Ovis aries: one gene and its partners. The protein of the gene in region 1 interacts with the protein of each later gene in a biochemical or structural test. Links are inferred from orthologs where the notes say so. Each region holds a gene or a part of one and is shown on either strand. Other genes may lie near its edges.

Region 1 (3,511 bases):
CTCTGAGGTCCAACAAAGCCCAGTAGAGAATGACTGTGGGTGTGGAAGCGTGTGCCCCCCCCCCACACACACACACACACACTTGCAATGAGAGGATGCTCCTCAGAGAGTCCAGGACTCTCTGGACGTGGAGACCCTGCCACGCTCTGCAGCTTCTGTGAAAAGCACCACATCCTGCATCTCTTCTGAGACCCTGGGTGAGCCTTACCTTGACTTGTTCATTAGAGGTTACAGCGCAGAAAACAATCTCTGTGAAGCCCTGGGATGGAAACATCCGGAAGCAGATACCGCCAATGACACGGCCATCTTTAATTAAAGCAAGGGTTTTGTGTTTCCTGGAAGAATAAGGTTGCATCACTGTTTTACCTCCTGTTTGGGGTGTTCCTCACTAACACATCAGGAAAACTGGAAGGGAGGGGGGGTTCTTTCTTGATTTTTCTGTGGAAACTGCCTCTGTCTGGCCACCATCTCACTAGAACATTCTGTAAGTGAATGTCTTAGAGTGAGCCTGCCTCCCAAGACATCCCCGGAGTGTTCATGAGGACAAGCGCCAGCCACCTGAAGGGGCCTGAGCCCCTAGACGAAGAACAGAGCCTGTGGACAGGCGCTGACAGGTGGTGAAACAGGGTCATGTCCGATGCCCACAAGCCCAGGGGGAGCAAAAGCCAGGGACATGGGCACACGTTTCTGAAGAGTTCACTCTCACTCAGAAATACCACAGAAGCTATAAGGAAATGAAAACACAATCCATCTGCACGATTTGCTAAAACCTGCCTTCCAGAATTCCATCAGGCCTTCTGCCTAAAACGTCACTCTGAACAGTCACGGGCATGGGCCACAGTCCACACGGGCAACTGGGCTCTGTATGTTAAAATGCATTCAATTACGGAAGCTCCCTTTCCTGTCTTTCCCCTTTTTTATGCAATGGGTGATCAAAGTGACCCTAACAGCACAGTAATCTTGCCAGGGCTTACAGGCCCAGGCAAGAGCTGAGCCTGCTTAAGACGCCAAAATCAGAGCCTGGCTGTGAGGAAACTGGGGCATCCGCTCCAGGTCTGTATGTCCCTCCACTGATGCAGTGGCCGAAGCGCAGGGCGCCGCCGGCAGCCTGAAGCAGGAGCCTCGGTAATAGAAGCTAGTCAGCTGCTGGGAAACTCGTCTGCATGCCTGGGGCCGCGGCCACGGCAGGGACGTCGCTCTGCCCGCGCAGCTGACAAGCAGCAGCAGGACGCGGTGGGTGACTGTGCCTGACTTTCACTACCCGAGCGGTTCCTCTCTCCTTTACAAAGGAGAGTGAAGTCCCTGATGGCCCAGTGAAGACCTGACCTTTCAACACAGAGGGTGGGGTCAAACCCCCATTTGATTCCTGACCAGGGAGCTGAGATTACACGTGCCTCAGGATGAAAAAAACCAAAACATAGGACAGAAATGATATTGCAAAAAATTCAAGAGACTTTAAAATGGTCCACATCAAGAAAAAGCGCTTCAAGGCTGGTTCACGTTGATGTTTGGTAGAAACAGACACAATTTTGTAAAGCAATTATCCTTCAATTAAAAATAAATAATTTTTTAAGTAAAAAAAAAAAAATCTTAAAAAAAAGAATGCATTTTACAAAACACATCAGGAAAGTGGAAAGCAGAGCCGGGCACGACTCACGGGTCGAAGACGAGCCGGGTGATGTACTCCTTGGGCATACGCGGCAGCTGGTGCGAGAACACGTTCTGCAGCCCCACCAGCCACATGAGCACCTTCTTGTTGGGCTTCTGGCTCAGGGAGTTGCCCACCACGTGGAACTCGATCACACCCCTGCGCTCCTCCAGCCTGGCCGCCTCGTCCCTGGCCGAGTGTGCCGACAGAAAGCTGGTCTGGGAGGAGGAGACAAGGGGTCACACAGGGCGCCTCCCTAAGACGGAAGGGACAGCTCACAGCAGCGCCCCTCCTCCGTGTGCTAGTGAGATACGCATTCCTGGGTTTCGGGGTCCCAACCGGTAACACACAAGCCATGAAAAGGCAGCTAGGCAGAGCGTTTTGCCAGACCAGAGCCTCCCACGTGTCCATGGAGACGTGGTACAGACCAGGAGTCACCAGACTTTCTCTGAAGGGCCAAACAACTCATGTTTGGATCTGCAAGTCAGGAGGCCTCTGCGGCAGCTGCGGACTCCGCGGCGGGGTGAACACGGCTGGGACCATGCGGACTCCGCGGCGGGGAGAACACGGAGGGACCACGCAGACACCGCGGCGGGGAGAACGTGGCCGGGAGCACGCAGACACCACGGTGGGGAGAACACGGAGGGACCACGCAGACACGTGTGGGCAGGGCAGAGCACCCGAGGACTTGATTTAATGGGGGAGGCAGCCTGCGTCTGTCCTGTGCGCTGCAGCCAGCCAGTCCTTGGTTTTCGGAATCCCGTCTGGCTGAGCACCCTTGGGATCCCAGACCCCAATTCTCCCTGCAGGCCCATGAGTGGTAGTCACGTCTATACTACCAGCACCTCTCTTTCGGAGGAAGAGAGGCTTCTTTGCAAAGGAGTCGTGTTGACCACTCTCAATCAAGCTGGCAGTACAACCTCCTACCAGCACCCTGCGCCCCATCCTATTAACCCAGGCAGTGGGGTGCAGGTCAGTGTTCAACAAACAGACCCCCAAGGCAGAAGGGCCAGCTGCTGGCACTGCCCGCTTCACTGGTCTACAGCTGATGCTGGAGGCCCATCTGCCACTGTGGTCAACACGTTTAATGACCATCTCCTAAAACTCCTGAGAATTTAACAGGTGCCTTGTGCATACCAGTACAAGGCAACTTCAGGACACTACTCAATCCACCCAACAAATCGTGGAATGTGTGATGACATCCACACTTCACAGCTGAAACAAACTGAGCAAAACTACTCTGTGGAGTCACTAAATCCCGGAAAGACATGTACACAGAAGGCCCCAAGGACTGGACACCCAAAAGGAAATGGAAAGGGCAACTTTACAAGGAGATCGCTCTCTTAACAGCATTCCAATCCCGTGAATTATCCTCAACTGCACAAAATAAATCTCTAAGGAAACACGACAAATTAAACATGGATACCTTCACCCAGCAGAGCCATTCTAAAAAAAATTGTTACAGATGTTTTGAAAAATCATCTTATTTCTTCATTTCCTGGCAGCTGTCAGAAACATCTAGGACTGCTTTGCGCCTGGATAAGACAGGAGATGACAGCAGCCCTTTTGCCCCAAAGGCTTTACTTGAATCTAATCATCAGTGAACAGACACACATACAGGGCCCTTATGCCAAAGCAGGGCTCTGCAACAATGCCGCTGCCACAAAAGGCCAACAGAGGGCTGAGAAACTGCTCTGGAATAAACTAAACAGATTAACAAGCTGAAGAGATCAGAATTAAATGCAACATGTGACCCCAGACTGGTCCTCCAACAACAGGAATAGATACCATAAACAACAGAATTAGGGCAGATGGGCAATCTGGATATGGGCTGTACATTAGGCCAAGAGTAACATCACAGAC
Region 2 (3,996 bases), on another chromosome or scaffold:
ACCCTGGTCTCGGACAGCAGGGGCTGGAGGAGTCGCCTCAGGGGCCCCATCCTGTTAACTGAGAGAGCCAGAGGGGTGTGCGGGCCAGACACGTGCCCAGGTCTGGGGGTCCGGGCTTTCCCTTGTGAGTGGTTTTGTCTGTGTTCAGGAAAGTTCTCTGAGACTTGCTGAATGTTCATTTAACCCTGTTTTCTCATTTCCCCTAAATGTTCTAATTAACCCAATTTGGGAGGTAATCTCACAGGTGAGTACCAAGCACGAATTTAAAAGCATCTGTTCTGTGGCTAGATGCCCAGTTCCCCTATCGACGCTTATCAAACCCACCCACCCTTTCTCACTGGCTTGTGGATGTGCAGGATGTGGAGGCCAGCTGCGCTCAGCACGGTTCCTCGCGTTTCACCAGCCAACTGCTGTCCTGCTCAGCGTGCTTTTCACCTGTGAAGACAGGGGCACTGCCCGTCTTCAAGGCCACCTGCCAGCATTCCCACTGCCAGGACACCCCTGCTCTAGACATCACGGTCTCCCAGGGTCAGCCTCCGTCCTTGCCCATGACCGGAGCACCTTGACCTTGGGGCCTGGCGACCTCCCACCCTGGAGAGCCCTCCTGACCCTCGAGTGCCAGGACCCCTCGGGAGTTCTGGAACGAAGCACAGGTCGCTCGCTGGGGCTGGGGGTGGGGTGGGGGAGGTCGGATTTACACCGACTTCGGCCACATACCTGGCCGCTTCCCAGGGACCACTTCCACCGCCCCGGTTCCGGGGGAGCTGCCCCGCCCAGGCCTGTGCCCTCCTCGGTCCCCGGATCTCAAGCACAAGGGCCGGTTATCTCAGAGGAACCTCCGGGGGCGGCGCCGCTGCCTCCCCCGACCTCGTGGCCCCAAGGAGCCCAAAGGACCCTTAAAACCCGGGGTCGCAGACGCCGCTCGCTCGGCGGCCGGCGCGTGGGTGCGGGGATGGGAGCACGCGGGAAGGTGCACGAGGGGCTCAGCGGGCTCCAGGCCGGGGGGCCGCGGCGAGAGCGCGCGCGGGGCCCGCGGGGCGCCCGGCAGGTGCGGCCGGCGGGGCGGGGCGGGGCGCCGGGCCCGGGGGGCGGGCGGGGCGGGCGGGCGCGGCCTGCAGCCGCCCGCGTGGTCTGCGCGGCGCCCGCTCCTGGAAACAGGAGGCCGCCGCGCCGGAAGCCCCGCCCGCGCGCGCGCCCTGTCCCCGCCCGGTGGAGCGGCTGCTGGCGCGGCGCGGCGGCTCGGCACGGCGGCGCCCGGGCGCAGGCAAGCGGGCGGAGCGGCGGACGGCGCCCAGGCCGCGCCACGCGCCGGGCTCGCGGCGGAGCGCGCCGGACTGGTCGGGGCCCGCGGCCGCCCGCACCTTTCCATGGGCAGCTCGCACTTGCTCAACAAGGGCCTGCCGCTCGGTAAGGCCGCGCGCGCGCATTTCCGGCCGCGGGGGCGGGGCGGGGCGGGGCCGCGGGGGCGGGCGGGGCGGGCGCGGGCGCCGGCTTTGTGTGCGAGTGCGCGTGCGCGCCGGCGTCCGCGCGCCGGGGGCCGGGGCCGCGGGGGGCGCCGTGCGCATGCGCGGGCTGCTGCGTGCGCGCCGGCGCCCGGGGGGCGGGGCCGGGGTCAGGGCCGCGGGGGCCGCCGCGCGCGTGCGCGGGCTGCTGTGCGCGAGTGCGCGTGCGCCGCCGCCCCGCCCGCCCGCCCGCCCGCGCAGGTGACACAAAGGGGTGCGGGGCCCTGAGGACCGTGGCGGCCGGGACTCCGCGCCCGAGGCGGGGGCCCTGCCGGCCTGTCCGCCCTGCGGTCCCGGCTGGCGGGGCTCCTGCCGGCGGGGCCCCGCAGGGAGGCCGGGCGCGCCGGCGGCCCCGAGTCCTCTGGGGCTGGGCCTTCCGGGGCTTTGCGCCCCCGTGCACTGCGGCCCCGCTGTGGAAACGTCTGACGGGGCGCGGCGGCGGGGGTGACACCCGGCCCGGGCCCGTGTCCGCCCGAGCGGCCGGACGGTTGTGGCCGCGTCCGTCTCACCCCGTCCCCTCCTTGCTCTGTCAAGTGTGGGGAGCAGGCGCACTCCGTGCCCGGGCGGCGCCCCGAGCCTGCGGCCGGGGGCGGCCCGCGGTGGGGCTTTGCTGGCCGCCGCGCGCCGCCGCCGTCGGGCCGGGCCGTGTCCACCTGTCACTGCCCCCGAGCAGGCCCAGCTCCCCCGGCCGGGCCCCCCTCGCGCTGGGGGCGCGTCCGGGCCCCGGGCTCCGAGGTCTGTGGACGCAGGAGCGGCCGTGGGTCCGGGCGGGGCTCCCTCTGGCCGGTGCCTGCCTGCCGCGGAGGGTCCCCCCCCACCCCCGGCCCTGGGCTTGCCGGGAGGGCGGCCTGTGGCGGGCAGCCTCCTTTCCGGTGATGCTCTTCTCTGTGGTTGGTTAGGACAGGCTCGCTGTTGGGGCGTGCGATGGGATTGGTTTTCTTCCGAGCCCGCCCCGAGGAGTGATACCACCCCTCCCGTTTGTCTGGATGACTGGACAGTTGGGTCGCACATGAGGGGTCCAGAGTGGGGTCTGCAGGTCTTACCCCGCGGGGGCACCTTCTCCCTCTCCAGGATCCCCCCACCCAAGTCTCAAATGTATGTACGCAGAGGCAGACAGACACTCAGGAGAAAGCTCGTCTCCAGCAGTGTGGACGGGCGGGTGCCCTGTGGGTTAGCGTCTCCTGTCCATTCTTGCACGGGGCGGCATCCCTGAGCCTCTGGACGAGTGGCCGCAGCAGGCAAGAGCGCAGGCCTGGCGCTCAGGGAGCCCAGGCTGAGCCCCTGCCTGGTGCATGGTCGTGGCCTTGTGCTCTCTGCGCTGTGGCTGTAGAGGGGCTGGAGCGTTAGAAGTGGGGCCACGTGACGGAGCGGGTGCCACCTGTCAGGTGGAGGGGCAGGGCGGGGGATGGGGAGGGTGCTAGGCCCTGGAGGTAGGGGGCAAGGCTCAGGACCGGGGTCCCTGTGCAGACTGTCCCTCCGGAAGGCAGGAGGGTGGCGTGCAGGGCCGCGGTTTGTTTCACAGTGAACCTGCCCCTCTCTGTCACTTGATTTGGGTGAAGTTTTCCTGGGACTCTTGAGCATCACGAAGGTAGCAGGGCATGTGCACACAGGTGGGCGTGAGTGAAGACGGTGGCAGAGATGAATTCGAGTGGCGAGGGGTCTTCGTGACACATACGTGCCTCGCGTCACGGCTTTTATCTAGCACGTGTGCGGGGCGCCTTTTGGTTTCTGAGGAGCTGAGGACACTGCGCTGTGAGGCTGACTCTTGGTGGGTGGGCCTGCTGCGGGTGCTCTGAAGCCCTGTGTGCCTGGGGGAGCCCCCTGGCCTTGCCTCCAGGGGCTCAGCATCCACCACAGCCAGACCCGCCCTGTCAGTGTGGCCAGAACCCTGCTCAGACGGCTGTGCTGGGGGCAGGGGTGAGCTGGAGAAGGCGTGGCTGCTGCCGGCTCTTCCGACAGAGTGACACGGGGGTGGGCGGGGGGCCTTGGTGTGTCAGCTGTGACTCGTGGTCAGCCAAAGGGCACATCCTGACCGATGGGCCGGCTTTGCAGAGGAGGATGGGAAGGTACCAGGGGCAGTGACGCATGCGCTTCCTGCTGATGAGGCGTGTGCAAGGGACTGCGGTGACCAGGGGGCCGCAGTGTGCAGGCCGGAAGCCTGGTGGAGCGTGGGGGCCGTGGGGCCGGGGAGATGGCTGGAGGGCTGGACGTGGGGTCAGGGACCCTGTTCGTGGCTGCAGAGTTTGGAACTTGAGTTTGAGGCGGCAGTTCTGGGGCTGGAGCGGAAGCAGAGGCTGTTCGGAGGTGAGCTCTGGGAGTGTCCGCTTTGCGATGCTCCGTAGCCCTGCACCAGGCGGCATGAGCCAGTGCGTGCCCCTGAGCCAGCGCTGCGGGTGCGCTGAGGCCTAGGCCTGGGCTCTCAGGAACCCGGGGCGTTCTGCAGATGCAGGGATGTGCTGTGACCAGTCTGGGGGCTCAGCGACTCTGGTGACCC
Region 3 (3,936 bases), on another chromosome or scaffold:
TTGTACAGTTCTTCTGTGTATTCTTGCCACCTCTTCTTAATATCTTCTGCTTCTGTTAGGTCCATACCATTTCTGTCCTTTATTGAGCCCATCTTTGCATGAAATGTTTCCTTAATATCTCTAATGATCTTGAAGAGCTCTCTAGTCTTTCCCATTTTATTATATTCCTCTATTTCTTTGCACTGATCCCTGAAGAAGTCTTTCTTATCTCTCCTTGCTATTCTTTGGAACTCTGTATTCAAATGGGTATATCTTTCCTTTTCTCCTTTGCTTTTCACTTCTCTTCTTTTCACAGCTATTTATAAGCCCTCCTCAGACAGCCATTTTGCTTTTTTGCATTTCTTTTTCTTTGGGATGGTCTTGCTCCTACAGTGTCATGAACCTGCATCCATAGTTCATCAGGCACTCTATCAGATCTAGTCCCTTAAATCTATTTCTCACTTCCACTGAAATAATCATTAAAGATTTGATTTAGGTCATACCTGAATGGTCTAGTGGTTTTCCCTACTTTCTTAAATTTAAGTCTGAATTTGGCAATAAGGAGTTCATAATCTGAGCCACAGTCAGCTCCTGGTCTTTTTGCTGACTGTATATAGTTCTGTAAAATATCAACTATTAGGAAGAAAGGAAGGGGCAAGGAGAAGGAAGATAGAAGCAAGCAAGCAGGCAAATAATAAGTTCTACCCCAGGAGATAATTTTGAAGAGACTGAGATTATATTACCACTAAGATCTCATCCCTCCAGAGAGCAATTCTGAAACTGCAGCTTGAGTTCAATTTTTCTTTCTTTTCCCCCCAGAGATGAGTGGAGGGGGTTACAATCTAAAAACCAAGATTTTTAACTTCTAAGACAAGCTTCTGTTTCACAGGTATGTTTTATGTATGCTGAGACAGGGAAGTCTTCTCATATAGCAGTCACCTAATTTGTGTGGGATCTGGGAAAAGTTCATTTAACTCCAAAATTTAAAAGTGGTCTTTTTGAGAAATTCTACTTCGAGTTTTTATTTCCTTATCCAAACACACTGATGTATGTCACCTAAATATGGTGCTTATAAACCAAAGAAAAGACTTTCCCCTACCTTTTTAATATGCAGTCAACCGCTGACTTTTCGTGGCTCTTCCCCTCATCCAGCCCCACTGACTCCTTTTCCACAACCAAGGCCCTTCCTATCAGGATTATTTTGGGAGTAGTATGTTCTCTTAAAAAATTTTCCCAAGAAAAATTAGCACACCTTCCTCTCCACCTGGGGCCCTCCTAGTCTGCAAATGAGGTGACACCAGATGGGGAGGTCAGAAAATTCAAACCATTTCCCCTCCTAGAATTGGGAGTGCCACACTTTCAACCTCTTCTAGTGCCATCCCAGGAAGGTAAATGACCCAGGAAACTGGAACCCAGATATCAGGAATGCAAGAAAAATGGAAACGGCTTTACATTGGCTGTTTCCATCACTATACAATTATAATGAGAAATTAGAAAATCTCATTTCAACCATGTGCAGAGTTTAATACCTTATAAAAGTGTCCGCGGTTTGCTAAAGGAACAACAGGTGATTTTGCTTAGTTTCCCCAATAACAGGGAGAAAACCCCACTGATTTGCCTTCCCTGCAACCTGCCCTGAAAAGACAACCTGCATAAAGATGCCTTGAGGATCGGGACCCTGAAATCCCCCCAACCACTTCCTTACCCGGAAGGAAAATTCTAATCACCATCAAAAATTTTAAGAGGCCTCGTGAAGAGTGAGCATTTCCAAGCATCTGGATGCTTAGTCCATGGGAAACGGGAAGATGTGTCTTTCGGGGAACGTCTCTTAAATGCCAAGAGACTTTTCAAGTAGCTAGAGGTTCTGGCTCCAAAATTGCTTCAACTATTAACCCCACTAGAGTAGATGTAGATGCTTAAATCAATAGGACAGAATTGCATTTACCGCGCGAGAAAACGGCAGTTACAGTCTTTCTTCGACAAAGTGGGTGGCTCTGAAAAGAGCCTTTGGATTAACTGCCTATGCAGGCACTCATTTGGAGCTGGTGTATTTAGTGACGGCCTTGGTACCCTCAGACACAGCATGCTTGGCCAGCTCCCCGGGCAGCAGCAGGCGCACGGCCGTCTGGATCTCCCTGGATGTGATGGTCGAGCGCTTGTTGTAATGCGCCAGGCGTGACGCCTCGCCCGCGATGCGCTCGAAAATGTCGTTCACAAAGGAGTTCATGATACCCATGGCCTTAGATGAGATACCAGTATCTGGATGGACCTGCTTCAGAACCTTGTACACATAAATAGAGTAGCTCTCTTTACGACTGCGCTTGCGTTTTTTGCCATCTTTTTTCTGTGCTTTAGTGATGGCTTTCTTAGAGCCTTTTTTAGGAGCGGGAGCAGATTTAGACGGCTCAGGCATTGTTTTGCCCTAGAAACGTTAGATGATAGCCTCCGCGACTAAGATTACCAGTATGAGTTCAAAAACCAGATATTTATAGCGCTTCAATGTAAATGAGGAATGAAAAATTCTCACTTTTGATTGGGTAAGATCAGTACAGGTTCACTAAGGTCTGGAGGGAGGGGTTTATGCAAATAAGGGATACACATATTCTCTTTCTATTGGATAGAAAAACCTTCGTCCTTCTGACCAATAGGAGACCTAAGTGGCGCATCCCTCTACTGTCTATTAAAAAAATATTTTTATCCCCCCTTGGTCGTCCAGGGTTTTTTTTTTCCTGCTCACAAGTTTTGCTGTTGAGTTTTACAAAGTAACTATGTCTGGACGTGGTAAACAAGGAGGCAAAACTCGAGCTAAAGCCAAAACTCGGTCTTCCCGGGCTGGTTTACAATTTCTAGTGGGGCGAGTGCACCGCCTGCTCCGCAAGGGCAGCTATACCGAGCGGGTTGGAGCCGGCGCTCCGGTGTACTTGGCGGCGGTGCTGGAGTACCTGACGCCTGATATTCTGGAGCTGGCGGCAACGCGGCCCGGGACAAAAAGAAGACCCGCATCATCCCGCGTCACCTGCAGTTGGCTAACCGCAACGACGAGGAGCTGAACAAGCTGCTGGGCAAAGTCACCATCGCTCAGGGCGGCGTCCTGCCCAACATCCAGGCGGTGCCGCTGCCCAAGAAGACGGAGAGTCACCACAAGGCGAAGGGGAAGTAAAGCCTAGACAAAAGAAGAAACTTTTTAATAAACTATTCAAAGACTTTTCACAGCCATCCACATTTTTATTAAAAAAAAAAAAAAAAAGCTGGTAGCCAGGTTATGCTGCGTAGGTGGTTAATTGTAAAAAGACAAATGACATTAAAACAAAGACTCTGGAAATGTTCTCACAAGCATTATTTTACTGCATAGCTGGCGAAACCTTTGTAATCCACAAGGGCCTTTATAAAGAGAAGGGGAGACTAGAGCGGTACTTAGTCTTGAGGATAACAAAAAGCAATTACTCTTGCCAAGATTATTTTTCTCTTGCCTTTGCTTTCAAAATTTTAAAACAATCCCCCCGCCCCCCCATGGAAGTTTATCAGGATCCAGTGTATATATGTCATCAATTCCACCTTTGCATGCATGTGATTTTTTAAAATCATCCACCCAGGGACCCTGGCATGTAGTTTTACAGAAGATAAACTCAGAATTAGGGGAGATCTGATGACCAAAGTTAGAAAGTGGTAGTCCTGGTAGTTCGAGATTTACTTAAAGCTGACCCAACTGTGGGGGAGAAAGATCAATTGTATTCAATTTAGGATTGGAGCAGAAATACTGACAATCTTGAGAACGTGTCAAGAATTAAGAATATCAGGTCCCACCCGTATACTGAATCAAAAGTTAACATGGTGGGTAAATGGCTCGTTATGTACATTGAAGTTGGCAATAAGATGAAACAATTTAGGAAAATTCCTTCAGGTCGCCTAGATTTAAAAAAAAAGGCATAGGAAATAGGTGTAGAAGTAATTCATCCA

Evidence for each region. The genes of interacting proteins can lie anywhere in the genome.
Region 2: the proteins of KAT2B (region 1) and CTBP1 form a complex in vitro, tested with the Homo sapiens proteins (2 studies listed by BioGRID, with this or other methods). The link is inferred for Ovis aries from reciprocal best matches to the Homo sapiens genes KAT2B and CTBP1.
Region 3: of the proteins of KAT2B (region 1) and histone H2B type 1-B, one has a biochemical effect on the other in vitro, tested with the Homo sapiens proteins (3 studies listed by BioGRID). The link is inferred for Ovis aries from reciprocal best matches to the Homo sapiens genes KAT2B and H2BC3.

Annotation. Positions count from the first base shown.
Region 1 is NC_056054.1:278,356,311-278,359,821, reverse strand, and holds part of KAT2B (histone acetyltransferase KAT2B), read right to left. Parts: intron 1,867-3,511; coding exon 1,658-1,866; intron 336-1,657; coding exon 209-335; intron 1-208. UniProt on the Homo sapiens protein: Functions as a histone acetyltransferase (HAT) to promote transcriptional activation. Has significant histone acetyltransferase activity with core histones (H3 and H4), and also with nucleosome core particles.
Region 2 is NC_056059.1:117,891,778-117,895,773, forward strand, and holds the start of CTBP1 (C-terminal-binding protein 1), read left to right. Parts: upstream 1-1,185; 5' UTR 1,186-1,367; coding exon 1,368-1,407; intron 1,408-1,649; exon of another isoform or gene 1,650-3,806; intron 3,807-3,996. UniProt on the Homo sapiens protein: Corepressor targeting diverse transcription regulators such as GLIS2 or BCL6. Has dehydrogenase activity. Involved in controlling the equilibrium between tubular and stacked structures in the Golgi complex.
Region 3 is NC_056073.1:30,871,963-30,875,898, reverse strand, and holds the start of histone H2B type 1-B, read right to left. Parts: upstream 2,439-3,936; 5' UTR 2,393-2,438; coding exon 2,012-2,392; 3' UTR 1-2,011. UniProt on the Homo sapiens protein: Core component of nucleosome. Nucleosomes wrap and compact DNA into chromatin, limiting DNA accessibility to the cellular machineries which require DNA as a template.